Linked DNA regions of Stegostoma tigrinum. The protein of the gene in region 1 interacts with the protein of each later gene in a pairwise test. Links are inferred from orthologs where the notes say so. Each region holds a gene or a part of one and is shown on either strand. Other genes may lie near its edges.

Region 1 (12,099 bases):
TGAAAAAAGGGTCATTAAGAACCAAAATTCGAGAATACTTGTTTTCTTTGTTATGAAAACAGCATAGCAAACAGCTTCACAAAATTAACTAAGTTGACCAACCCTGTACAATGCAAAAAGCAAAATTACAGTTGGTTAATATTACAGAAAAAATTAAATAATCATATTTACTTGTTATCAGGAATTAAATCAGATCAAACAGCTTGGGAAAGTTAGATATTTTATTAGCGTGCCATTGCTCATTCAGGACTGAGTAGTTATCACCTTTTGTTTTCTTTTTATAATAGAGGTTTTACTTTAGTGGTTAAAATATCGTCCATCTTTCCTCTGAAAATATTAGCTCCTTGACCAGCATTTAGTAATTGTGGTGCCACCAATTTCACTGATAACTAATGCCTACAGTTGGAAAAGACATATTTATAGAATATTGACAATGCTGCTTAGAATTTTAAACAAAGTAAATGAATTCTTAAGATTTGAAGTATTGATACTCTGCTTTTCAACTTTCCAGCATGAAAATCATGCGCACTTAATATTTGTCATTTTAAACTCTGTTTGTCAAGACCTAAAGCATATAGTTACTCACTGTAAGTACAATGATTTTAGCTACATTGTTTATGAAGCTTACAGTCAAAACCCAGAGAAAGCTGTGGACTGATGTTCTGAAATGTAGCTAAGAGCACGTAACTCAGTAAGATGAAGTTTTACAATCAGTACTATTAAATAATTACAATCCAAGTGTTTTTGAATGTGTTTTTATTGCCTTACGTGGAAGAACTCTATTTACCTCTAAGGGAGTGGAATATTTGTTACAGTTAATGCTCCACATTGATTCCAAGTTATAACTAGAATATAGAACAGAACAGTACAGTGCAGACTCTTCGGCCCACGATGTTGTGCTCACCTATTATCCTCCTCAAATCAAAATTAACCCACACACCCTTCATTTTTCTACCATCCATGTTCCAATCCAAGAGCCGCTTACATGTCCCTAATGCATCTGACTCTACTACCACTGCTGGCAGTGCATTCCATGTGTAAAGAAACTATTGACATGCCTTTATTCTAAAGATTTAAATATTGGTTCAAACCTCTGGCTGACCAATAAATAACGGCCATGGAATGGCAGAATGATAAGAGAGTGGACAGTAATAAAGTACAGTGCACATACTGATGGTGGATCCAGAAGTGACATGTCAGATAAAAATCCTTCAATAGTGAAACAGGAAGATCTTGTACTAGTTCTCATGGTTCATTCAGATGTTAATCAAGAGTACTTTCAGGAATTACCAATGAAGACTGCACAGTATTACAAAACCAAAATAATTTATTCACAATAACAATCCACTAATTATGGTTTATAATAAATATACTGTAGATGGATGTACACTAGTTAGATTTTCTCAACATCAATGTTCCATCAAGTCCTGTTAGCAAGAGTTGTGCAGTGTAGACTCAGGCATCTTCCTCTGTACCTTCCACTGTAACCTTGTGTACTGACACAAAGTGATCAAAACCAGACTTTATGATAAATCGTAGATGTGTAGCTCTAGTTTCATCCTGCTATATAGAGAATATAATTTATTAATTCACACTTTTTTTTTTGAAAAGGTTAGTGCATGCCCAACTCAGAACACAATTTTCAAGATGTATATCATCATATAATGTGATTTCTTATCTGATTTACAGAATTTGGGCATTACTGACTAAACTGCCTTTGAGGGGAGGCTGTGGGAGAGTGGTAACATCACTGGACTCCTAAACCAGGCTTAATATTCTGGGGATATGGATTTGAAACCCACCTTGTCAGATGAAGTTTAAATTCAATAAAAAGCTAGCCTAATGCTGACCATGGAATCACTGTCAATTGACAACAGCCATCTGGTTCTTTAATGACCCTGAGAGATGACAATCTGCTGCCCTTATCTGGTCTTGTCCACAAGTGACTTTGGATCCACAGTAATATGTGGATATTACTTAAATGCCCTCTGGGTAATTAGGAATAGGCAAAAAATACTGGCCTAGTCAATGATGTTCATATCTCAAGAATGAATTTAAAAATAAACATCTATTGTCCCCATCTACTTGCCCTTTAAAGTATGACAGCTGTCTTGAATCACTGCAGTCCATGGGGCTAGGTAGACACAGCGGGAAGGGAGTACTAAGATTGAGATGTACAATAATGAAGGAATGGCAATGTTAGTTCCAAGTCAGGTTAGTTATGATTTGAAGGAGAATTTGCAGGTGGTGGTGCTCCCACATGTTTGCTCTCCATGGCATAAGTGCTCGAAGTTGCAGGTTTGGTAGGTGCTGTAAAAAGAACCTTGGTGAGTGGTGCAGCGCACCTTATGGAAAGCACACACTGCTAACACTCTGCATCAGTAAGAGAGGCAGTGTATAAGTAAGTTGGTGGATAGGATGCCAAACAGGCTGGATATTTTATCCTGGGAAGAAATTCTTGAGAGTTATTCGCGCTGCACACATCTAGGCAAGTGGAGTATTCCATCACATGATTTGTGCCTCATAGATCGTGCACAGATTTTGGGGAGTTTGGGGTCATTTACCTGTCACATTCTTAACCTCAGACTTCCTTTTGTACTCACAGTTTAATGCGACTAGTCCAGTTCAGTTTCCAGTCAATGGCAACTTCACAATGTTGGAAGCAGGGGATTTATTTTAGTCATTCGTAGGTCGTAGGTGTTGCTGGCTGGCCATCATTCATTACCCATCCCTGGTTGTGCGTGAGAAGGTATGGTGAGCTGCCTTCATACTTCCGATTACCATGGATTCCAGTTTTGCTAGGGCTCCTCGATGCCACACCGTCAAATGCAGTCTTGAGGTCACTCTCATCTCACCTCTAGAAATCTGCTCTTTTGACCACGTTTGAACCAAGGCTGTAATGAGATCAACAGCTGACTGGCCCTGACAGAACCCAAACTGGGCGTCACTGAGCAGATTATTGCTTAGCAGGTGCTGCTTGATAGCTCTGTTGATGACACCTTCCATCACTTTACTAATGATCGAGAATAGATTGATGGGCTGGAAAATGACCAGGTCAGATTTATCCTACTTTTTATGTACAGAACATATCTGGGCAATTTTCCAAACAGTTGGGGAAATGCCGGTGTTGTAGCTGAACCGAAACAGCTTAGCTATGGTACGGCAAGTTTTGTATTCTTCAATACTATTGCCAAAGTGTTGTCTGGGCCTGGAATCTTAGCCGTATCCAATGTCTTCAAACATTTCTTTGGCTGAAGGCTGGCATCTGTGATGTGGGACCACTGGAGGAGGCCACAATGGATCATCCACTCAATATTTCTGGTTGAAGATTACTGCAAATGCTTCTACCCTACTGTTTGTACTGATGTGCTCAACTCTGCCATCATTGAGGATGGGAATGTTTCTGGAGATGACTCCTCCGATGAGTTGTTTAATTGTCCACTGATGATTGGATGTTGCAGGACAGTGGAGCTTAGATCTCATCAGTTGATTGTGGGATAGTTTTGCTGCCTACAACTTGCTGTTTATGCCGTTTGGTAGCCCTACTTAGTTTCACCAAGTTGACAACTTATTTTTAGGTATGGCTGGTGCTGCTCCTGCACACTCCATTGAACCAGAGTTGATCGCCTGTCTTGATGGTAATAACTGAATGGGGGTATGCTGGGTCATGTGGTTGCAGATTATGTTGGAGATTCTGCTGCTGTGATGCCCATAGCACCTTATGAATAGCCAAACTTGAGTTGCTAGGTCTGTTTAAGTCTATCCCATTTTGGCATTGTGATAATGCCGCATAACACGATGATGGGTAATCCCAATGTGAAGCCAAAGTAATGCCACTGTATGTGAAGGGACGATGGTTAGATTATTTCCAGCTGGAGAAAGTCATTGCCTTTTATTTGAGTGGCATTAATGTTAGCAATACAGCAAGAAACAGACCATTTGGTCAACCCAGTCCATGCTAGTATTTATAATTCATTAAAGTCTCTACCCTTTTTTGACCCTTGAATTGTTATGTTATTTTACTTAGCAAACTAGGTCACAGTGCACCTTGCATTCCCAAAATAATGAATATTATTTTGAACCACTTAGTTAAATTTAATAATGTGTACGTGTACATTATTTGAATTGGCCTCATTTTCCAACTTGGGAAAGTGATTGTCCTTCGCTCAGAAGCTTGCTGCAACAGCACCATAGAGATCAAAAACTTCAGTAGAAATGGGGAAATCAAACCGCTACAACACTATTCAATACTACTTTGGGGAGGAACTGACCTATAATGATTTCATACCTAATATGTTACCTCAGCTTTTTGTAGAATTTACTTACTGTAAATTCCTTTACTTGAAGCTGTTCCTCAGAGCGCTCAAGTTCTGGTAAAAAGTAAGCACAACAGGATGAAAACCATCAAAAGAAATGGAACGGAAGCAACTATTTTCAACAACAATCTTGGCAATATTATCAAAATATTTGTTGAGTACACTTACCATTGTTACTCAATGGTTCAAAATCTACAGGATCTCTTGCTATACTTCTCTCAATACCAAGGTTACGCACTGGAATGGTAAACCAAGAAAAACTTATTACTTTTGGAACATTTACAATTATTTTGAGTAGATGGTGTCTTACTTTATTCTCATGAATTTTGCAAGATAGTTCAATGTTTACTCATGCATTTACACTGAAATATAGCTAGAAATATACTCCTCTCAAAACTGAATAGGTATTTGCAAAGTCATGCATAAAAGCTTGGTAAAGATCATGAATAATTAAGAACTACTGTTCATTGCACTTTATTCTTTGATCCATATGGAACGAGGTAAAGTAGCTTGTTTATCATAGTAAATCATTAGTATATTCAAATATAGTAATTAAAAAGCAGCAAAAATCTTACCATTGTAACAGTGAATTTTCATTGAGCTAATTTTTATAAGATTAGCAAAACTTAGGATAAATTCTTGTGGGAACATTCCTGTTGTAATCCAAAATGATTCTGTATTACTGTGAACAGAAGTACAGTATGAGACTTGGTATTTTTGTTTATTGAATTTTCATCTTTTTTTCTAATCTGTGTCTCATTAGTATCATAGATAGCCAGTTCTAGCAGGTGACTGTTCTTCGTGCCGAGCCTAGATGAAAATGACTTGCATTCATAGAGCACCTTGAATTTGATAAAACAATCCCAAGCATTGGATAGTGGGTAAGAGAAAAGGAAAACAGTCAAAGTTTCTGGACTATAATCTGGCAATTCTTGGGATAAAATTTGCTACATTTTTCATTTGGGTGCAATCTCCCTTTAATCAGAGTGGGAGGGGAGACACTTGCATTTGAAAAGCCGGAATATTATACCTAGTTATCTTGTCCAATACTTAGCACTCTCAAAACCGCAGATAATCTGTGGTTATTTCTGTCTGTGGGACCTTGCAATGCGTACAATTAGCTGCTGTTAAATGTTGAATTACAACTGTAACTACACTTCAATGGACTTAGTTAGCTGGAAAACACTTTGAGAAAGCTGGTGGTTGTGAAAAGTGTTGAAGAAAGGTCCCGAGCCGAAACGTCAACTTTCCTGCTCCTCTAATGCTGCTGGGCCTGCCGCGTTCCTCCAGCTCCATACTGTTATCATATAAATAAAAGGTCTTTTTATCACTAGGCTATATTGCAACCTCTACCAAAGCAGGGGTGTTCGCTTTTGACCGTGAAAGAAGTCTCACTGATAGATCTAACTACCTTTCTGCCGAGAATTCCACCTCTACCACCCGACACTGGTTCTGCAAAGAATTGAGGCATTTTACTGCATAATCCGGGCATGGAGCTGAAGTAATAGCATCAGACTGTCGACGCAACCATTTCATAACTAAAATAAAAAGCTGACGAACAGCCAACTTTGATAGGATTTCTCGCAGGGCAATGGGTACTTAGAAATTCTCAAGGTGTAGGGCACGCGCCAGGCGCTATATCAACGCAATGCTGTGTTATCTAAGGGGACGATCCTGTTCGCCAACCGCACGGACAAGCTGAAGATCCTCACCCGTCCAGGATGTTCTCCGGCGGGTGTTTCTCATCTGAAGACGCCGCCAACACAACCTGCGTCCCCGCCACCGTCAAACCGAAATCCCGCTTCATGTCAACCTCCCCGGCCGTTACTACAGCAACCCGCCACTTCCGGTCCTTCACATATACTCCCCCCGTGACCGGCGGTGACTTCCGGTCCTTCCCATAATCACCTTCCCTCAATTTTCTGCGTTATGGTTCCGTGCTCCCCTCCTGGGAAACAGGAGGTTTAGTAGTTTGGTGAGTTTTACAGCTCATTTGGGAATCCTTGTGGCTACAGCCAGGCACTAGCAGTGACCAGCCAGGGTAAGTGTTGGACTCGGTGGAATAAGTGGGCAGAAGTTTAAGGGAAAGTGTTTCCTCCCCAGCCCTCATTTTCAGGATGTGACATTTGCAGCCACTTGTGAGAGCTGGGAGAGATATTAATCTAGGATAGAAGAGCCTGACTCTATTGTCCTAGTGAGTTGCTGAATGAATTGTTTTTGGACTCATCCGGATTTTGTATTGCCTGTCCCTCTCCCAAGGAGATATGAGTGTTTTTTTTCAACACTGGAGATACTTTAGTGGTTAAGTTTAAAATTAGCTTGATATGAATTTTAAGCAGTAAGAAATTTAAGGATGTTAGTATGTTGTTCTATCATGTAATTGATTGTAGGTAAGAGAAATAACTGAGATTATGCACATGAAGCAACACGCCACTCTAGTTCCATTAGAGATGGGTAATATGTGACATTTAAATTAATGTTGGTGGAATACAGTTTGTTTTCTGATGAAAGCGTTTGTTTTGACTGTCTTGTAAAAAACTATGTCTTCAGGGGGTAATTTGACCCTGAAAAAAGACACTAGATGATTACAATAGAATACATTTAAAGGTTAGTGTTTTTTTCTTTGTTTTGCATGGTGACCTAAACTTCTCAAATGGGTTTGTCTAAATCCAACATTATCATTACAAATTTTGATGTCTGGTTTTGGAAATTTATGTTTTATAATGGTTCATGGTGACCACATCTCTAGCAAGTGTTGGTCGCTTGAGGAACTGTGGCTCAGAGTTAACATCATAGAATCATACCGTGCAGAAGAGGCCCTTCGGCCTATTGAGTCTGCACCGAAACATGAGAAACACCTGATCTTCAACTTAATCCCATTGATGAGCTCTTGACCGTGACCTTGAATGCTATGACCTGTTAAGTGCTCATCCAAGTACTTTTTAAAGAATTTGAGACACCATACTTCTACTACTAACCCAGGCAGCATATTACACACTGTTGCCAAAAAAGTTTTTCCTTTCATTTGCACTCTCCACCGAACCTCCTCCTCACCTTCAGCCTGTATACCCTTGTCACTGACCTTTTAACTGAGGGGAATCGCTACTCCTTATCCATTCTGTCCATGCCCCTCATAATTATGTAGACCTCAATCAGACCACCTTTCAGTCTTCTCTGCTCCAGTGAAAGCAATGCAAGCCTATCAAACCTTTCCTCAAACTTAAATTTTACATCCCAGGCAGCACTTTGATGAATCTCCTGTGCATGTCCCCCCGTGCCCCAATAGTAGTTGTTCCCAGCCTACCTTGGCCATATCTTGCCTTATTTTACTAAAATCTGCTCTCCCCAAGTGCAAGCCCTTTTTCTTTTTGATGAGCTGGAATCTGAACTTTGTACTCTGCAACTCATCATGGAGGGTAGATTTACCTGGACACTGTTTCAGAAGGCAGTCACGCCCCTTAGATTAACTACCTCAAATTCGGTCAAGAACAGGGTGACGTGATGACAAGTGAGGCATGTAGAGGAATCCAGGAGGTAGGCTGGAGATACCAGCCCTTGAGCTTATCTAACAGGTTTGAGATTCTTGCTCCCTGTGTAATGAGAGTGGGGGCTGTAGGGCGGATGAGCAAACTGACCAAAGTGGTACAGGAAGCCATTCCAGAGGGGGGAGAAGAAAGAAAAGTAGTTGTAATCAAGAGTAGTATAGCCAGAGGAATAGCCATTTCTGTGTTTTCAGGATCAAGAGTCCTGAATGTTATGTTACTTGGCTGGGTTCCGGGTATCTCATCTGGCTGGAGAGGAACTTGGAGTGGGAGGGAAAGATCCAGTTGTCATGGTCCATATAGGTAGAAAGAGGAAAGACGTTCTGCTGAGGTAATATGAACAGCTTAAGGGCTCAATTAGAAAGTAGAACCAAAAGTTAATCTCTGATTTCTATCTGAGCCACAAGGGAATAGGCATAGGGTGAGCAAGATTAAAGAAGTAAACACGTAGCTCAAAGATTGGGTGTATAGGAGAAACGGGTTTGAATTCATAGGACTTTGGCACCAGTACTGGAGAAGGAGGGAGCTGTTCCAATGGAATGGACTCCCACCTGAATTATGCTGGGATCAGAGCCCTGGAGAATCACATAACTAGGGCTGTGGACAGCGCTTTAAACTAATTATTAGGAGGGTGGGTTCAGTTGCATGGAAAAAGTTAAAAGCAGGGAGGACTCAGCAGAGGTTAGTAAAATTTTCAGAACAAGTAAAAGGAGAGAGTATGGAACATGTTAAAAATCTAACTTCAGGCACAGCAGATAAGGAGACAGCCATGAGAAGGGGGCAGTCGACACAGGACCGAAGGTGTCATACTTCAATAAACGCTATATATGAAACAAGATAAATGAGTTTGTAGTGCAGACTGAAATTGATGGGTGCATTGTAGTGGGCATCACAGAGACATGGCTGCAAGGGGATCAGGGCTGGGAACTAAACATCTGAGGAAACATGTCCTATTGAAAGGACAGGCAAATGGACAGAAGGGGCAGCGTTGCCGTGTTAGTGAGAAGTCAAATTAAATTGATAGCAAGAAGTAAGAAAGAGTTGAAATGTGTAGAATCTGTGTGGTTAGAACTGCAAAGGAAATAAGACCCAAATAGGAGTTATGTCCTAGCAGTAGTTAGGATATGGGGAAGAAAATAAACTAGGAGATAGAAAATGCATGTAAGAAAATTACTTTTTTTATAATAATCATGGGGGACTACAGTATGCAGGTGGACTGGGAAAATCAGATAGGTAGTGGATCTCAAGAAAAGGAATTTGCAGAATGTCTACGAGGTGTTTTTGTTGGAGCAGCTTGTGGTAGAGCCCACTAGAAAAAAGAAACATACAAAGGGGATTACGAAGCAACCATGGCTGACGAGAAGTCAGGGACAGCATAAAAGCAAATGAAGTAATATACAATGGGTGAAGATTATCCTGGGAAGTCTTTAAAACCAGCAGAGTATAACTAAAAAAGCGGGTGGATGAAATATGAGTGTAAACTAACTAGTAATATAAAGGAAGATTGCAAGAGTTTTTTTTAGATATATGTAGCTAAGAGAGAGAGGCAAGAATGGACGTTGGACCACTGAAAAGTGATGCTGGAGATGTAGGAAGGCCTGAAGGTGGATTAATCACCTGGACCAAAGCATTCGTGGTGATCTTTCAGGAATCATTGGAGTCAGGGAGGGTGCCAGAGGAGTGGAAAATGATTAATATAACACCCTGTTTAAGAGGGGAGGGAGGCAGAAGACTGGAAACTATATGCCGATTAGTCTGACCTCAGTCGTTTTTTTAAGATTATAGAGCCCGTTGTTATGGATGAGATTGAGTGTACTTGGAAGTGCTGAGTCAGCATGGCTTCCTTAAGGGGAGGTCATGCCTGACAAATCTCTTTGCAGAACTAATGAGCAAGTTTGACAAAGGAGAGCCAATGGACATGAGCTATTTGGATCAATAGGCCTTTGACAAGCTGCCTCTGATTAGGGATAGCCAGCATGGCTTTGTGCATGGGAAATTGTGTCTGACAAAACTGAGCTTTTTGAGGACATGACCAAGAGGATAGATGAAGGCAGAGTAGTGGATGTTGTCTACGTGGACTTTAGCAAGGCATTTGTCAAAGTTCTACATGATAGACTGGTTAATAAAGTTAGATTGGATGGGATCCAGGGAGATATAGCCAATTAGATACAAGTTGGTTTGCCAGTGGGAGACGGAGAGTAGTGGTGAAGGATTGTTTCGGAGACTGGAGGCCTTTAACTAGCGGTGTTCTGCAAGGATCAATACTAGGCCCACTATTGTTTGTCCTTTTTGTACAATGATCTACATGAGAATATAGGAGGCAAGGTTAGTTAGTTTGTAGACGACACCAAAATTGGTGGAATACTGAGCAGTGAAAGAGGTAATCTCAGGGTACAACAGGATCTTGATCAGATGGGTCCATGGGCCAAGGAGTGGCGAATGAAGTTTAATTTAGATAGGTGTTGCATTTCGGTAAGACCGTCTGGGGAAGGACTTAAACTGTTAATGGTAGGGCCCTGGGGAGGACTGATGAATAGAGAGACCTAGGCGTTCAAGTACATAGTTCTTTGAAAGTGGTGTCACAGGTAGACTTGGTGGTGATGAAGACATTGGCACACTTTACTCAAGGGTCTGACCAATGAAGGCAAGAACATAGAACATTACAGCGCAGTACAGGCCCTTCGGCCCTCGATGGTTTCACAGGTCGGTGCAACAATTTGAAGCCCATCTAACCTACACTATTCCGTTATCATCCATGTGTTAATCCAATGTCCATTTAAATACCCTTAAAGTTGGCAAGTCTACTACTGTTGCAGGCAGGGCATTCCACGCCCTTATTACTCTCTGAGTAAAGCACCTACCTCTGACATCTGTCCCATATCTATCACTCGTCAATTTAAAGCTATGTCCCCTCGTGCTAGCCGTCGCCATCCGGGGGAAAAAGGCTCTCACTGTCGACCCTATCTAATCCTCTGATCATCTTGTATGTCTCTATTAAGTCACCTCTTAACCTTCTTCTCTCTAACGAAAACAGCCTCAAGCCCCTCAGCCTTTCCTCATAAGACCTTCCCTCCATTACCAGGCAATTTCCTGGTAAACCTCCTGTACACCCTTTCTAATGCTTCCACATCCTTCCTATAATGCAGCGACCAGTACACAATACTCCAAGTGTGGCCGCACCAGAGTTTTGTACACCTGCAACGTGACCTCGTGGCTCTGAAACTCAATCCCTCTACCAATAAAATCTAACACACCGTACGCCTTCTTAACAACCCTATCACCCTGGGTGGCGACTTTCAGGGATCTATACACATGGACACCGAGATCTCTCTGCTCATCCACACTACCAAGAATCTTACCATTAGCCCAGTACTCTGTATTTCTGTTACTCCTTCCAAAGTGCATCACCTCGCACCTTTCTGCATTAAACTCCATTTGCCACTTCTTAGCCCAGCCCTGCAGCTTATGTCCCTGTGTAACCTGCAACATCCTTACACACTATCCACAACTCCACCGACTTTAGTGTCATCTGCAAATTTACTAACCCATCCTCTGCGCCCTCATCCAGGTCATTTATAAAAATGACAAGAGTGGCCCCAAAGCAGATCCTTGCGGTTCACCACTAGTAACTGAACTCCACGATGGACATTTCCCAACAACCACCACCCACTGTCTACTTACAGCTAGCCAATTTCTGATCCAAACCGCTAAATCACTCTCAATCCCATGCCTCCGTAGGAGTTGGGATGTCATGTGGCTGTGCAGGACATTGGTGAGGCCACTTTTGGAGTACTACATACAATTCAGGGTGTCATGCTGTAAAGAATTATGTTAATAAACTGTAAAGAGTGCAGAAAAGATTTACAAGGATGTTACTGGGATTGGAGGATTTGAGTTATAAGGAGAGGCTGGACAGGCTGGGACTTCTTTCACTGGAGCAGAGGAAGCTGAGGGGCCACTTTACAGAGGTATATAAAATCTTTTATAATGCCTTTCCCTAGGGTAGGGAGTCCAAAACTAGAAGGCATAGGTTGAAGTTGTGAGGGGAAGATTTCAAAGGGACCTGAGGGACAACCTTTTCACACTGAGGGTAGTTTGTGAGTGAAATGAACTGCCAGAAGATGTGGTAGATGCACATTTTAAAGACATTTGGACAGGTACATGATTAGGAAGGTTTTAGAGGGATATGGGCCAAATGTTGGCAAATGGGACTAGTTTAAGTTTGGAAAGCCATAATGAGG
Region 2 (13,135 bases), on another chromosome or scaffold:
CGGAGGGTCAGTGCTGAGGGAGCGGGCACTGTCGGAGGGTCAGTGCTGAGGGAGTGGGCACTGTCGGAGAGTCAGTGCTGAGGGAGCGCCGCACTGTCGGAGGGTCAGTGCTGAGGGAGTGTCGCACTGTCGGAGGGTCAGTGCTGAGGGACTGTCGCACTGTCGGAGGGTCAGTGCTGAGGGAGTGTCGCACTGTCGGAGGGTCAGTGCTGACGGAGTGGGCACTGTCGGAGGGTCAGTGCTGAGGGAGCGGGCACTGTCGGAGGGTCAGTGCTGAGGGAGCGCCGCACTGTCAGAGGGTCACTGCTGAGCGAGTGGGCACATCCAGAGAGTCAGTGCTGAGGGAGTGGGCACTGTCGGAGGGTTAGTGCTGAGGGAGTGGGCACTGTCGAAGGGTCAGTGCTGAGGGAGTGGGCTCTGTCGGAGGGTCAGTGCTGAGGGGGCGCCGCACTGTCGGAGGGTCAGTCCTGAGGGAGCGGGCACTGTCGGAGGGTCAGTGCTGAGGGAGCGGGCCCTGTCGGAGGGTCAGTGCTGAGGGAGCGGGCACTGTCGGAGGGTCAGTGCTGAGGGAGTGGGCACTGTCGGAGGGTCAGTGCTGAGGGAGTGGTCTCTGTCGGAGGGTCAGTGCTGAGGGTCGCCGCACTGTCGGAGGGTCAGTCCTGAGGGAGTGGGCACTGTCGGAGGGTCAGTGCTGAGGGAGCGGGCACTGTCGGAGGGTCAGTGCTGAGGGAGTGGGCACTGTCGGAGGGTCAGTGCTGAGGGAGCGCCGCACTGTCGGAGGGTCAGTGCTGAGGGAGCGGGCCCTGTCCGAGGGTCAGTGCTGAGGGAGCGGGCACTGTCGGAGGGTCAGTGCTGAGGGAGCGGGCACTGTCGGAGGGTCAGTGCTGAGGGAGCGGGCACTGTCGGAGGGTCAGTGCTGAGGGAGCGGGCCCTGTCGGAGGGTCAGTGCTGAGGGAGCGGGCTCTGTCGGAGGGTCAGTGCGGAGGGAGCGGGCCCTGTCGGAGGGTCAGTGCTGAGGGAGCGGGCACTGTCGGAGGGTCAGTGCTGAGGGAGTGGGCACTGTCGGAGGGTCAGTGCTGAGGGAGTGGGCACTGTCGGAGGGTCAGTGCTGAGGGAGCGCCGCACTGTCGGAGGGTCAGTGCTGAGGGAGCGGGCCCTGTCGGAGGGTCAGTGCTGAGGGAGTGGGCACTGTCGGAGGGTCAGTGCTGAGGGAGTGGGCACTGTCGGAGGGTCAGTGCTGAGGGAGCGCCGCACTGTCGGAGGGTCAGTGCTGAGGGAGCGCCGCACTGTCGGAGGGTCAGTGCTGAGGGAGTGGGCACTGTCGGAGGGTCAGTGCTGAGGGAGTGCCGCACTGTCGGAGGGTCAGTGCTGAGGGAGTGGGCACTGTCGGAGGGTCAGTGCTGAGGGAGTGGGCACTGTCGGAGGGTCAGTGCTGAGGGAGTGGGCACTGTCGGAGGGTCAGTGCTGAGGGAGTGGGCGCTGTCGGAGGGTCAGTGCTGAGGGAGCGGGCGCTGTCGGAGGGTCAGTGCTGAGGGAGTGGGCACTGTCGGAGGGTCAGTGCTGAGGGAGTGCCGCACTGTCGGAGGGTCAGTGCTGAGGGAGTGCCGCACTGTGGGAGGGTCAGTGCTGAGGGAGTGCCGCACTGTCGGAGGGTCAGTGCTGAGGGAGTGGGCACTGTCGGAGGGTCAGTGCTGAGGGAGTGGGCACTGTCGGAGGGTCAGTGCTGAGGGAGTGGGCACTGTCGGAGGGTCAGTGCTGAGGGAGTGGGCACTGTCGGAGGGTCAGTGCTGAGGGTGTGGGCACTGTCAGAGGGTCAGTGCTGAGGGAGTGCCACACTGTCGGAGGGTCAGTGCTGAGGGAGTGGGCTCTGTCGGAGGGTCAGCCCTGAGGGAGCGGGCCCTGTCGGAGGGTCAGTGCTGAGGGAGCGGGCACTGTCGGAGGGTCAGTGCTGAGGGAGTGGGCACTGTCGGAGGGTCAGTGCTGAGGGAGCGGGCACTGTCGGAGGGTCAGTGCTGAGGGAGCGGGCACTGTCGGAGGGTCAGTGCTGAGGGAGTGCCGCACTGTCGGAGGGTCAGTGCTGAGGGAGTGCCGCACTGTGGGAGGGTCAGTGCTGAGGGAGTGCCGCACTGTCGGAGGGTCAGTGCTGAGGGAGTGGGCACTGTCGGAGGGTCAGTGCTGAGGGAGTGGGCACTGTCGGAGGGTCAGTGCTGAGGGAGTGGGCACTGTCGGAGGGTCAGTGCTGAGGGAGTGGGCACTGTCGGAGGGTCAGTGCTGAGGGTGTGGGCACTGTCAGAGGGTCAGTGCTGAGGGAGTGCCACACTGTCGGAGGGTCAGTGCTGAGGGAGTGGGCTCTGTCGGAGGGTCAGTCCTGAGGGAGCGGGCCCTGTCGGAGGGTCAGTGCTGAGGGAGCGGGCACTGTCGGAGGGTCAGTCCTGAGGGAGTGGGCACTGTCGGAGGGTCAGTGCTGAGGGAGCGGGCACTGTCGGAGGGTCAGTGCTGAGGGAGCGGGCACTGTCGGAGGGTCAGTGCTGAGGGAGTGCCGCACTGTCGGAGGGTCAGTGCTGAGGGAGTGCCGCACTGTGGGAGGGTCAGTGCTGAGGGAGTGCCGCACTGTGGGAGGGTCAGTGCTGAGGGAGCGGGCACTGTCGGAGGGTCAGTGCTGAAGGAGCGGGCACTGTCGGAGGGTCAGTGCTGAGGGAGTGGGCACTGTCGGAGGGTCAGTGCTGAGGGAGTGGGCACTGTCGGAGGGTCAGTGCTGAGGGAGTGGGCACTGTCGGAGGGTCAGTGCTGAGGGAGTGGGCACTGTCGGAGGGTCATTACTGAGGGAGTGGGCACTGTCGGAGGGTCAGTGCTGAGGGAGTGGGCACTGTCGGAGGGTCATTACTGAGGGAGCGGGCGCTGTCGGAGGGTCAGTGCTGAGGGAGTGGGCGCTGTCGGAGGGTCAGTGCTGAGGGTGTGGGCACTGTCAGAGGGTCAGTGCTGAGGGAGTGCCACACTGTCGGAGGGTCAGTGCTGAGGGAGTGGGCTCTGTCGGAGGGTCAGTCCTGAGGGAGCGGGCCCTGTCGGAGGGTCAGTGCTGAGGGAGCGGGCACTGTCGGAGGGTCAGTCCTGAGGGAGTGGGCACTGTCGGAGGGTCAGTGCTGAGGGAGCGGGCACTGTCGGAGGGTCAGTGCTGAGGGAGTGGGCACTGTCGGAGGGTCAATGCTGAAGGAGCGGGCACTGTCGGAGTATCAGTGCTGAGGGAGTGGGCACTGTCGGAGGGTCAGTGCTGAGGGAGAGGGCACTGTCGGAGGGTCAGTGCTGAGGGAGAGGGCACTGTCGGAGGGTCAGTGCTGAGGGAGTGGGCACTGTCGGAGGGTCAGTGCTGAGGGAGTGGGCACTGTCGGAGGGTCAGTGCTGAGGGAGTGGGCACTGTCGGAGGGTCAGTGCTGAGGGAGCGCCGCACTGTCGGAGGGTCAGTGCTGAGGGAGTGGGCACTGTCGGAGGGTCAGTGCTGAGGGAGTGCCGCACTGTCGGAGGGTCAGTGCTGAGGGAGTGGGCACTGTCGGAGGGTCAGTGCTGAGGGAGTGGGCACTGTCGGAGGGTCAGTGCTGAGGGAGTGGGCACTGTCGGAGGGTCATTACTGAGGGAGTGGGCACTGTCGGAGGGTCAGTGCTGAGGGAGTGGGCACTGTCGGAGGGTCATTACTGAGGGAGCGGGCGCTGTCGGAGGGTCAGTGCTGAGGGAGCGGGCACTGTCGGAGGGTCAGTGCTGAGGGTGTGGGCACTGTCAGAGGGTCAGTGCTGAGGGAGTGCCACACTGTCGGAGGGTCAGTGCTGAGGGAGCGGGCCCTGTCGGAGGGTCAGTCCTGAGGGAGCGGGCCCTGTCGGAGGGTCAGTGCTGAGGGAGCGGGCCCTGTCGGAGGGTCAGTCCTGAGGGAGCGGGCACTGTCGGAGGGTCAGTGCTGAGGGAGCGGGCACTGTCGGAGGGTCAGTGCTGAGGGAGCGGGCACTGTCGGAGGGTCAGTGCTGAGGGAGTGGGCACTGTCGGAGGGTCAATGCTGAAGGAGCGGGCACTGTCGGAGTATCAGTGCTGAGGGAGCGGGCACTGTCGGAGGGTCAGTGCTGAGGGAGTGGGCACTGTCGGAGGGTCAGTGCTGAGGGAGTGGGCACTGTCGGAGGGTCAGTGCTGAGGGAGTGGGCACTGTCGGAGGGTCAGTGCTGAGGGAGCGGGCACTGTCGGAGGGTCAGTGCTGAGGGAGTGGGCACTGTCGGAGGGTCAATGCTGAAGGAGCGGGCACTGTCGGAGTATCAGTGCTGAGGGAGCGGGCACTGTCGGAGGGTCAGTGCTGAGGGAGTGGGCACTGTCGGAGGGTCAGTGCTGAGGGAGTGGGCACTGTCGGAGGGTCAGTGCTGAGGGAGTGGGCACTGTCGGAGGGTCAGTGCTGAGGGAGTGGGCACTGTCGGAGGGTCAGTGCTGAGGGAGTGGGCACTGTCGGAGTGTCAGTGCTGAGGGAGCGCCGCACTGTCGGAGGGTCAGTGCTGAGGGAGTGGGCACTGTCGGAGGGTCAGTGCTGAGGGAGTGCCGCACTGTCGGAGGGTCAGTGCTGAGGGAGTGGGCACTGTCGGAGGGTCAGTGCTGAGGGAGCGGGCACTGTCGGAGGGTCATTACTGAGGGAGTGGGCACTGTCGGAGGGTCAGTGCTGAGGGAGCGGGCACTGTCGGAGGGTCAGTGCTGAGGGAGCGGGCACTGTCGGAGGGTCAGTGCTGAGGGAGCGGGCACTGTCGGAGGGTCAGTGCTGAGGGAGCGGGCACTGTCGGAGGGTCAGTGCTGAGGGAGCGGGCACTGTCGGAGGGTCAGTGCTGAGGGAGCGGGCACTGTCGGAGGGTCATTACTGAGGGAGCGGGCCCTGTCGGAGGGTCATTACTGAGGGAGCGGGCCCTGTCGGAGGGTCATTACTGAGGGAGCGGGCCCTGTCGGAGGGTCATTACTGAGGGAGTGGGCCCTGTCGGAGGGTCATTACTGAGGGAGTGGGCCCTGTCGGAGGGTCATTACTGAGGGAGTGGGCCCTGTCGGAGGGTCATTACTGAGGGAGTGGGCCCTGTCGGAGGGTCATTACTGAGGGAGTGGGCCCTGTCGGAGGGTCATTACTGAGGGAGTGGGCCCTGTCGGAGGGTCATTACTGAGGGAGTGGGCCCTGTCGGAGGGTCATTACTGAGGGAGTGGGCCCTGTCGGAGGGTCATTACTGAGGGAGTGGGCCCTGTCGGAGGGTCATTACTGAGGGAGCGGGCGCTGTCGGAGGGTCATTACTGAGGGAGTGGGCCCTGTCGGAGGGTCATTACTGAGGGAGTGGGCCCTGTCGGAGGGTCATTACTGAGGGAGTGGGCCCTGTCGGAGGGTCATTACTGAGGGAGTGGGCCCTGTCGGAGTGTCATTACTGAGGGAGTGGGCCCTGTCGGAGGGTCAGTGCTGAGGGAGCGGGCACTGTCGGAGGGTCATTACTGAGGGAGTGGGCCCTGTCGGAGGGTCAGTGCTGAGGGAGTGGGCCCTGTCGGAGGGTCAGTGCTGAGGGAGTGGGCCCTGTCGGAGGGTCATTACTGAGGGAGCGGGCGCTGTCGGAGGGTCATTACTGAGGGAGTGGGCCCTGTCGGAGGGTCATTACTGAGGGAGTGGGCCCTGTCGGAGGGTCATTACTGAGGGAGTGGGCCCTGTCGGAGTGTCATTACTGAGGGAGTGGGCCCTGTCGGAGGGTCAGTGCTGAGGGAGCGGGCACTGTCGGAGGGTCATTACTGAGGGAGTGGGCCCTGTCGGAGGGTCATTACTGAGGGAGCGGGCACTGTCGGAGGGTCATTACTGAGGGAGTGGGCACTGTCGGAGGGTCAGTCCTGAGGGAGTGGGCACTGTCGGAGGGTCAGTGCTGAGGGAGTGGGCACTGTCGGAGGGTCATTACTGAGGGAGCGCTGATATCACACACAGGCCAAGTTGTGATTTTGTTGTTCGCTGTTTAACCGCTGCCCTGGGATTAACACAATTTGTGACTAATCGCTCGCTCTGGCACCGGAGCCACTCAGGGACGGGGTCGGCGCTTCTAAAATGTAATGTCCTGCCAGCACCCTTCACTCACCTGCGAGCACACATTTAGCTCGTAGTTTCACCATGTCTCCTCCTGCTCGGTTCGGAAGCCCATGAACCGGTTCATTCCATCGACAATAAACCTGGAGGCTCCTACTCCAGGCCTCACTTTAGGCCGCAAACCGCCATCAGGCCTCCTTGGTTACACCGCCCTAGCAACTTCCTCTCGCCTCCTCTCATTGGTCCCGGCCCCGTGGGCGGTGTACCCGATATTAATTGGCCAACTCGCCGTCCGTCGCAACCCTCTGCTACATGATTGAGCGTCTGGGATGCCAATCAGGTGTCCTCACGCTGTAATTGGTCTAGAGGCCGTCCGTCATACTGCCGTCCAAAGTGATTGGATATCTGTGACGTTAAGCGAGGAGCTCAGCATATCCACGTGTTTACAGTATCTTGAGGTTGTGATAACAATGCCAGGTTTTAAAAACTTTTTTTGGGAAACGGATAAATAGGTGAACCTACGAGAATATTCTTTTCTCAGATAGCAAAAAAAAACTTAAGTATATAAAACAGAAGTATGGATGCTGTGAAACAAAAACAAAGTTCTGGAGAATGTGTTCAGAGATAATAGGAACTGCAGCTGCTGGTGTGGAGCTGGACGAACACAGCAGGCCAAGCTGCATCTTAGAAGCCTCTCTGATGAAGGGTCTAGGCCCCAAACGTCAGCTTTTGTGCTCCTGAGATGCTGCTTGGCCTGCTGTGTTCATCCAGCCTCACATTTTATGCTGGAGAACGTATGGCAGCATCAGTGAGGGGAAGGACAGTTGCCAGTCTAGAGCCCAGCAATTTATTTTTTATTACTTTCAGATATTTTATAGCTTCCATGCTGGGAAGTTCTAAATCTCTGTTGGAGTAAAATACTCCTGCAATAATTACAAATTGAGAACTCAGAGCAGACCTAGGCTCTCAGTCCCAGGCCTGCACTGTGATCACCGCTGGTCTATCTTGACTCCATTTCCCCCGACCTGTCAACCCATTACCAAAGTATTTCATCAAATTTACTCAATATCTCAGTATTCACCACTCTTCAAAAGAGATATCATTTCTCATGTTTTAAAAATCAGCTATGTGCTTCATCCTACAATTACTCATGTCCAAGTATGATTCACCTGGATAGCATGCAAAACAAGTTTTCACCGTTTAGGCAGGTTCTTTACACAGAGAGTTGTGAGAGCATGGAATGTGTTGCCAGCAGCAGTTGTGGAAGCAAGGTCATTGGGGTCATTTAAGAGACTGCTGGACATGTATATGGTCACAGAAATTTGAGGGTGCATACATGAGGATCAATGGTCGGCACAACATTGTGGGCTGAAGGGCCTGTTCTGTGCTGTACTGTTCTATGTTCTATGTTCTAATAACAAATCTAGTGAATTCCCCAAACCCCAAGTTCACCTTGTGACAGATAATAGGAACTGCCAATGCTGAAGAATCTGAGATAACACTGAAGCTGGATGAACACAGCAGGCCAAGCAGCAGAGGTGCAGAAAAGCTTGATGTTTCGGGTCGGGACTGAAGGAGGGTCCCAACCCAAAACGTCAAGCTTTCCTGCTCCTCTGATGCTGCTTGGCCTGCTGTGTTCAGCCAGCTCCAGTGTTATCTCAACTTGTGACAAATGCATTATGTAACATTTACATAGTACTTTGGGATGTTTAGTTAGCTAACAGAACTACAAACAAAAATGACCATGACATAAGCTTCGGGTGACCTGTCAAAGATGTAGATTTTAAAAAAGGTCTTCATAGTATCACAAGGCATCATAACACCAACATTGTTCACATTTGATTTGAATCACAAAAAGCTGGCATGTAGGGAAAGCAAAGAGAATGCCCATTTATTTTTAAAAGGAAAAAAGGTATCTAGTTAAACTACACCAAGGGCAATGATCAGACCACAGGTGACAAATTTTAGTCCCTTTATCCAATGTATACCAGGCATTGGAGACAGTCCAGAAAAGGTTCACTTTGTTGATTCCAGGTATGGAGAGACTTGTCTGGAGGGGCAAGTTGAGCACGTACCAATATCATGAGAATGAAGTGATCTTACTGCTGAAAGGCTTGTTTCTTAAAGATACTTGACCAAGTAGATACAGAAAGGTTATTTCACCAGTGAGAAGCAAAGATCAGGACGTGACACCCAAAGACCAGAGGATGATTTTCTCTGCCCATCCCACCTGAAGGGTATTTAGTTTGGAGACCCCTTTACTGCAGAGGGCTCAAGGCTATGTTGGCAACAATGTTGAAGGATGAGGTGGGCAGATTTCTAAACATTAAGTGAATGAAAGGTTATGGGGATAGGTCAGGAAATGGGACAGTTATCAGATCAGCCATGATCAAGTTGAATGGCAGAGTCAACGGGCCAAGTGGCTTATTTTGGCTCATGCATCCTGTCTCAGTGAGCTAGTAGCAGATGGCATTGTTTGGGCAAAGATCCCATATACCAACTTATGGTATCATTGGCCTGTGCTGGCTTTGTGTCAAGCAATGCCCTGATTAGAAGTTACTTCAAGGCCTCAACTTAGGGTTTAAACCCTGCACCCTACCTTGCCAATATCTCTACTATCCAGATGACCCCTTTCCTTTCCATTGGCAGTGCCTCAGCCCCGTAGTCTGCAAAGCTAATAAAGCCTACATGCAGGTAAAGGATAACAGAAGCAAACTCTCAGCTTGTACGCTGTGCGCTTTTAGACATATGAACATAGAATGCAAAGCAGGTCCAAGGGACTAAGTTCACAGCTGATTACAATCTCAAACCTTCATTCCTGCTGAACCTCTCACTGCCTTGCTTGAAGAATTACTTCTGCCTCAAAATATTCGATGAACTCTAGTTCCATCACATCTTCAGGGAGAGTTCAAAATACACAACCCTCAAGATAGATACTGCCTCACCTTTTTAAACTGGCAAACCCCTAGTTCTAGATCTTTCCCAGAGAGAAAAAACCCATTGCCACATCAACTCCATCAAGGGATGTCAGGATTGTTTCAAATCCAGTCACTTTATTAAACACCCCACAGGTAATCCAACCATGCCTCAACACAACCCACCGAGTCAAGGTATTAGTCTGATAACTATGGGAAGGGAAACAGAAGCCACAGCAGTAGTGTCAATAAAGTAGCACAGAATTTAACCAAATCACATCCTGACTGCCATACAGGACTGTAGGAACACAGAACACCAAAATGGTCTTTTCTTTAAAAAAGGTATTTATTGAACACTGGAACAATGTTATAATTGGTCCATGGTTTATGCAGCCTCTTCCTTGGCAATGCGATCCTTCTTCAGTGGTCCCTGAAAACAAAACAATACCAATATCAAAAAGAGCTGGGCAAGGCAGTTTCAAACAAAAACCCCAACATGTGTTCATTGCAACTACAAAACAGTTCTTAAGTCTTGTGCAAGTCAATTTACAAAATCTGAAGGCACACCACAGGAAAGTTGCACTGATTAATTTATCACTCACCATAAATGCCTTCTTCTCCTCAAGGGTCTGGAAGCGGCCATGACCAAATTTGGAAGAGGTATCAATAAACTTCAGGTCGATCTTCTCCACAGCACGGCGGTTTGTCTGCACCAATAGGGACTGCAGGGTTGAACATTACAGTTTAATATTCTGTACCACAACCAGCTTAAAACTATGGGTGGGGTGGGTGGAGGAGACAGAAACATGGGCTGTCTGCACACCAACTTAGAACAGGAATAGCATCTCACCTGGAGACCAGAGATGGATATACATTAGCCATGCCTTTGTCACAATCATGCATCTACAGAGCATCTTGATCAGAGACTGAATGGCAGTATGCACACTATTACCTAGGAACAAGCCACTATGGGCCTAGTAGTGTTGCTTTTACCTGCAGAGCTACTCAGCATCCCAGGGGTACCACTAAATTATATTCAATGGCAAGTTTGTTTTGTCTCTGACAACCAAAAGGATATGGAGAGTTGGCAGAAAGGTGCAGTCAAATCTAAAGATCAACATTTGTCAGTGAACTCTACAGTAGATTTGACAGGTGTATTCCTACTCCCATTTCTCATGGTAAGTTAATGATGCAGAGTATTGGCCATCTATGGGGAAAGCTGAAAATGCTCAAGGGCAGCTACAATCTTTAACCGAGGGGGGAAGATTGACTATGTATTCATATTAAGATAACAAGTAGTTACCTTACGCAGCGTAAGCACACGTTTCTTGGTACCAACAACACAGCCCTTCACCATTACAAAATCATTGGTAACTTCACCATAGTGAGGAAATCCTCCCTGATGAGATTGAAAACAGCAGTTAGCACAACAGTCTTAGAATGACATGAACTACAATTTGGAATGTCATTTATAGCTTGCTAAAAACGCACTAGTGGGTTGATGCTCTTGTCTGTCAAGTCATACTCTGTAGCAGCATTGTTCTTCACCAGCTTGCCATCCTTGGTCTGGTAACCAGATCCAATCCTGTAGATCTAAAAAGGTAAAGAATTGAGTTTTAGTTCACATTTTAAGGAAACCTGGTAAAACGCATTCAGAGACAAGGTGTGAGAATTTCTATTTCAGGCAAAGCAATTTTGAGAATGTACTGTAATTAAGGATTGAGAGGTCAGTCATTCTGACCAAAAAAAAAAACAGCACCATTTGCAAAGAAACCTGGAACCCCAGCTTTGGCTCTTGCTCAGGATTCTCTTCAGGTTAAGAGACAGGTTCAGCTGGCAGTTAGGAAGGTAAAAGCAGTGTTATCATTCATTTACAGTGGCCTAGAATACAACAGCATGTATGTACGCCTGACATTGAAGGCAGCTCTGGCCAGACCACATTTGGAACACTGAGTAGTTTTAGGCCCCATATCCAAAGGAAGGATGTGCTGACCTTGGAGTGGGTCCATGATCTAAGGAATGAAGGGCTTGTCATGAGGAACAATTGAGAACACTGGGTTTGTACTTGGGAGTTTACAAGGATGAGGGGGAGTCTGATTGAAACAAACAGAATACCAGGCCTGGATAGAGTGGATATGGCAATGTTTTCACTAGTAGGAGACTAGGACCCAGGGGCACAACCTTAAGCGTGAAGGCAACTCTTGAGAACTAAGACAGAGGAATCTTGGGGTTCAAGTCCCTAGCTCGCTGGAAGTGACCACACAAGTAAAATAGGGTGGTAAAGGCATATGGCATGCTTGCCTTTACTAGCCAGGAAACTTGAGTACCAGTTAGAATGCCATGTTACAGCTTTATAGTAAGTGTCACTGAACCAAAAATGTTATTGCATTCAATTCTCACCACATGACAATAGCGACGTTGAAGCTTTGGCACGGTTTCAGAAGGTTTGCCAGGTTACTGCCTGGATTGGAGGGTTTGAACTACAAGGAGGCTAGAAAAACTGAAGGGAGACTTGACAGAAGTCTATAAAATTATGAGATGCAGAGATAGGGTTGATTGTCAGTACGTACCATTTTCCCTCGCAAGACTTCAAAATGTCTAATGCTAGAGCCAATGCCCCTCTTGCCTTTTAAATGCAAAGTTCAAAAAGAGATGACAGGTATGTTGTCTTTTAAAAAGACAGACAAGAGTGGTATGAGTGTGGAATGTACTGCCAGGGATGGTGGTGGAGGCAGATATGATAGGGTCATTTAAGAAACTCTTAAGATAAATACATGAAAATGAAAGGAACAGAGAGTTACAGGACCAAGAGCAGGGAAAAGGCACTTGTTTAATTTGGCATGTTTGGCACAACATTGAGAGTTGAAGGACCCATTCTTGTGCTGTGCTATTTTAGGTTCTGAGGAGAGGAGGAACTTATTCAGATGCAGGATATTTCATCTGTGGAGCTCATTGCTGCAGAGGGCTATGAAGACCAAGTCATTGAGTGTCTTTAAAAGGCAGATAGATAGGTTATTGATTACTAAGTGGATCAAGGTTACAGGGAGAAGGCAGGAAAGTGGGACTGAGTAACATATCAGCCATGATCAAATGGTAGAGCTGACTCAAAACAGCCCAATTCTGCTCCTGTACATTGTGAATTCAGAAATGCACATTAAGAATAAACTTGGACTGGAGACCCAGCTAGCATCCTTTAGGGAGGGGCAACAGCCATTCTGATCCAATCTAGACAATTGTGATTCCACACCCACTGACTTTAAAGTGCTTACCTTCTTGTTGATCTCTGTACGGTGATGGTATCCCTTCTGACCTGCACGAGCAACAGAGAAAGCTACACGGGCAGGATGCCAAGCTCCAATACAGGCAACTTTACGCAGCCCCTTGTGAGTTTTCCTTGGCAGTTTCTTTGTGTGCCAACGACTGGTGACCCCTGGGGAGGCAGAGAACAGACCAATTAGTGAATACCCAAGATGTTGACAATTCTTCATTTACTCCTGAAACAGAGATCTCAGAAGGAAGGCAGCATGGAATGGCTCCTCATCAGAGTCAGATGCTGTTACCAACATATATTCCATGTTATCATCACAGAATGCTCCAACAGTGAAGTGTGACAATGGTCAACAAAAGTGTCATTAAAAAGGCATATTACCTATGCACATAAACAAAATACAATCATTTGAGACCCATCCAACTAAGCAGCTGATTCACAGATTCCATACCTTTGAAGCCATGGCCTTTAGTAACACCAATGACATCTATCATCTCATCCTGACCAAACACCAGGTTAACAGAAACCTGCTGTTCCAGTTTCTCTCTTGCCCAATCAACTTTCTCAGCAATTGTCCCACCGTTCAGCTGGATCTCCATGATGTGGGACTTCTTCTGACGCAAGGGAAGCAGGCGCATCTGTGGAGATGAAGCATTCCAATGAACAAATCAGAACAAGCCAACATGAGTGGGATATTTCCCTCTGTTAATCAAGTCAATTTGCTCCACCACTACCAGCACATCTTTGCTTGCCTAAAATAAACTGACGGCCTTCAAAATCACCTCCACTCACCCTAATATTTCTTTAGGAATGGCTTGGTGTCAAATACGTTTACAGGAGACTTCTGTGAAGCAGGTTGGAATGTTTCACTATAACCATTCCTATGAATAGATATGCAAC

What was found.
Region 2: the proteins of hspb11 (region 1) and ift27 interact in binary tests that used the Homo sapiens proteins (3 or more experiments, as listed by UniProt). The two-hybrid records come from large-scale screens. The link is inferred for Stegostoma tigrinum from reciprocal best matches to the Homo sapiens genes IFT25 and IFT27.

What each region holds. Positions count from the first base shown.
Region 1 is NC_081361.1:41,474,579-41,486,677, reverse strand, and holds the start of hspb11 (intraflagellar transport protein 25 homolog), read right to left. Parts: upstream 6,166-12,099; 5' UTR 6,124-6,165; coding exon 6,029-6,123; intron 4,999-6,028; coding exon 4,892-4,998; intron 4,554-4,891; coding exon 4,485-4,553; intron 4,371-4,484; coding exon 4,327-4,370; intron 1,564-4,326; coding exon 1,456-1,563; 3' UTR 1-1,455. UniProt on the Homo sapiens protein: Component of the IFT complex B required for sonic hedgehog/SHH signaling.
Region 2 is NC_081391.1:24,533,326-24,546,460, forward strand, and holds the start of ift27 (intraflagellar transport protein 27 homolog), read right to left. Parts: upstream 6,260-13,135; 5' UTR 6,139-6,259; coding exon 6,105-6,138; intron 1-6,104. Other genes in the region: large ribosomal subunit protein uL3, read right to left, coding at 9,353-9,397, 9,570-9,689, 10,271-10,366, 10,459-10,560, 12,237-12,397, 12,687-12,873. UniProt on the Homo sapiens protein: Small GTPase-like component of the intraflagellar transport (IFT) complex B that promotes the exit of the BBSome complex from cilia via its interaction with ARL6. Not involved in entry of the BBSome complex into cilium. Prevents aggregation of GTP-free ARL6.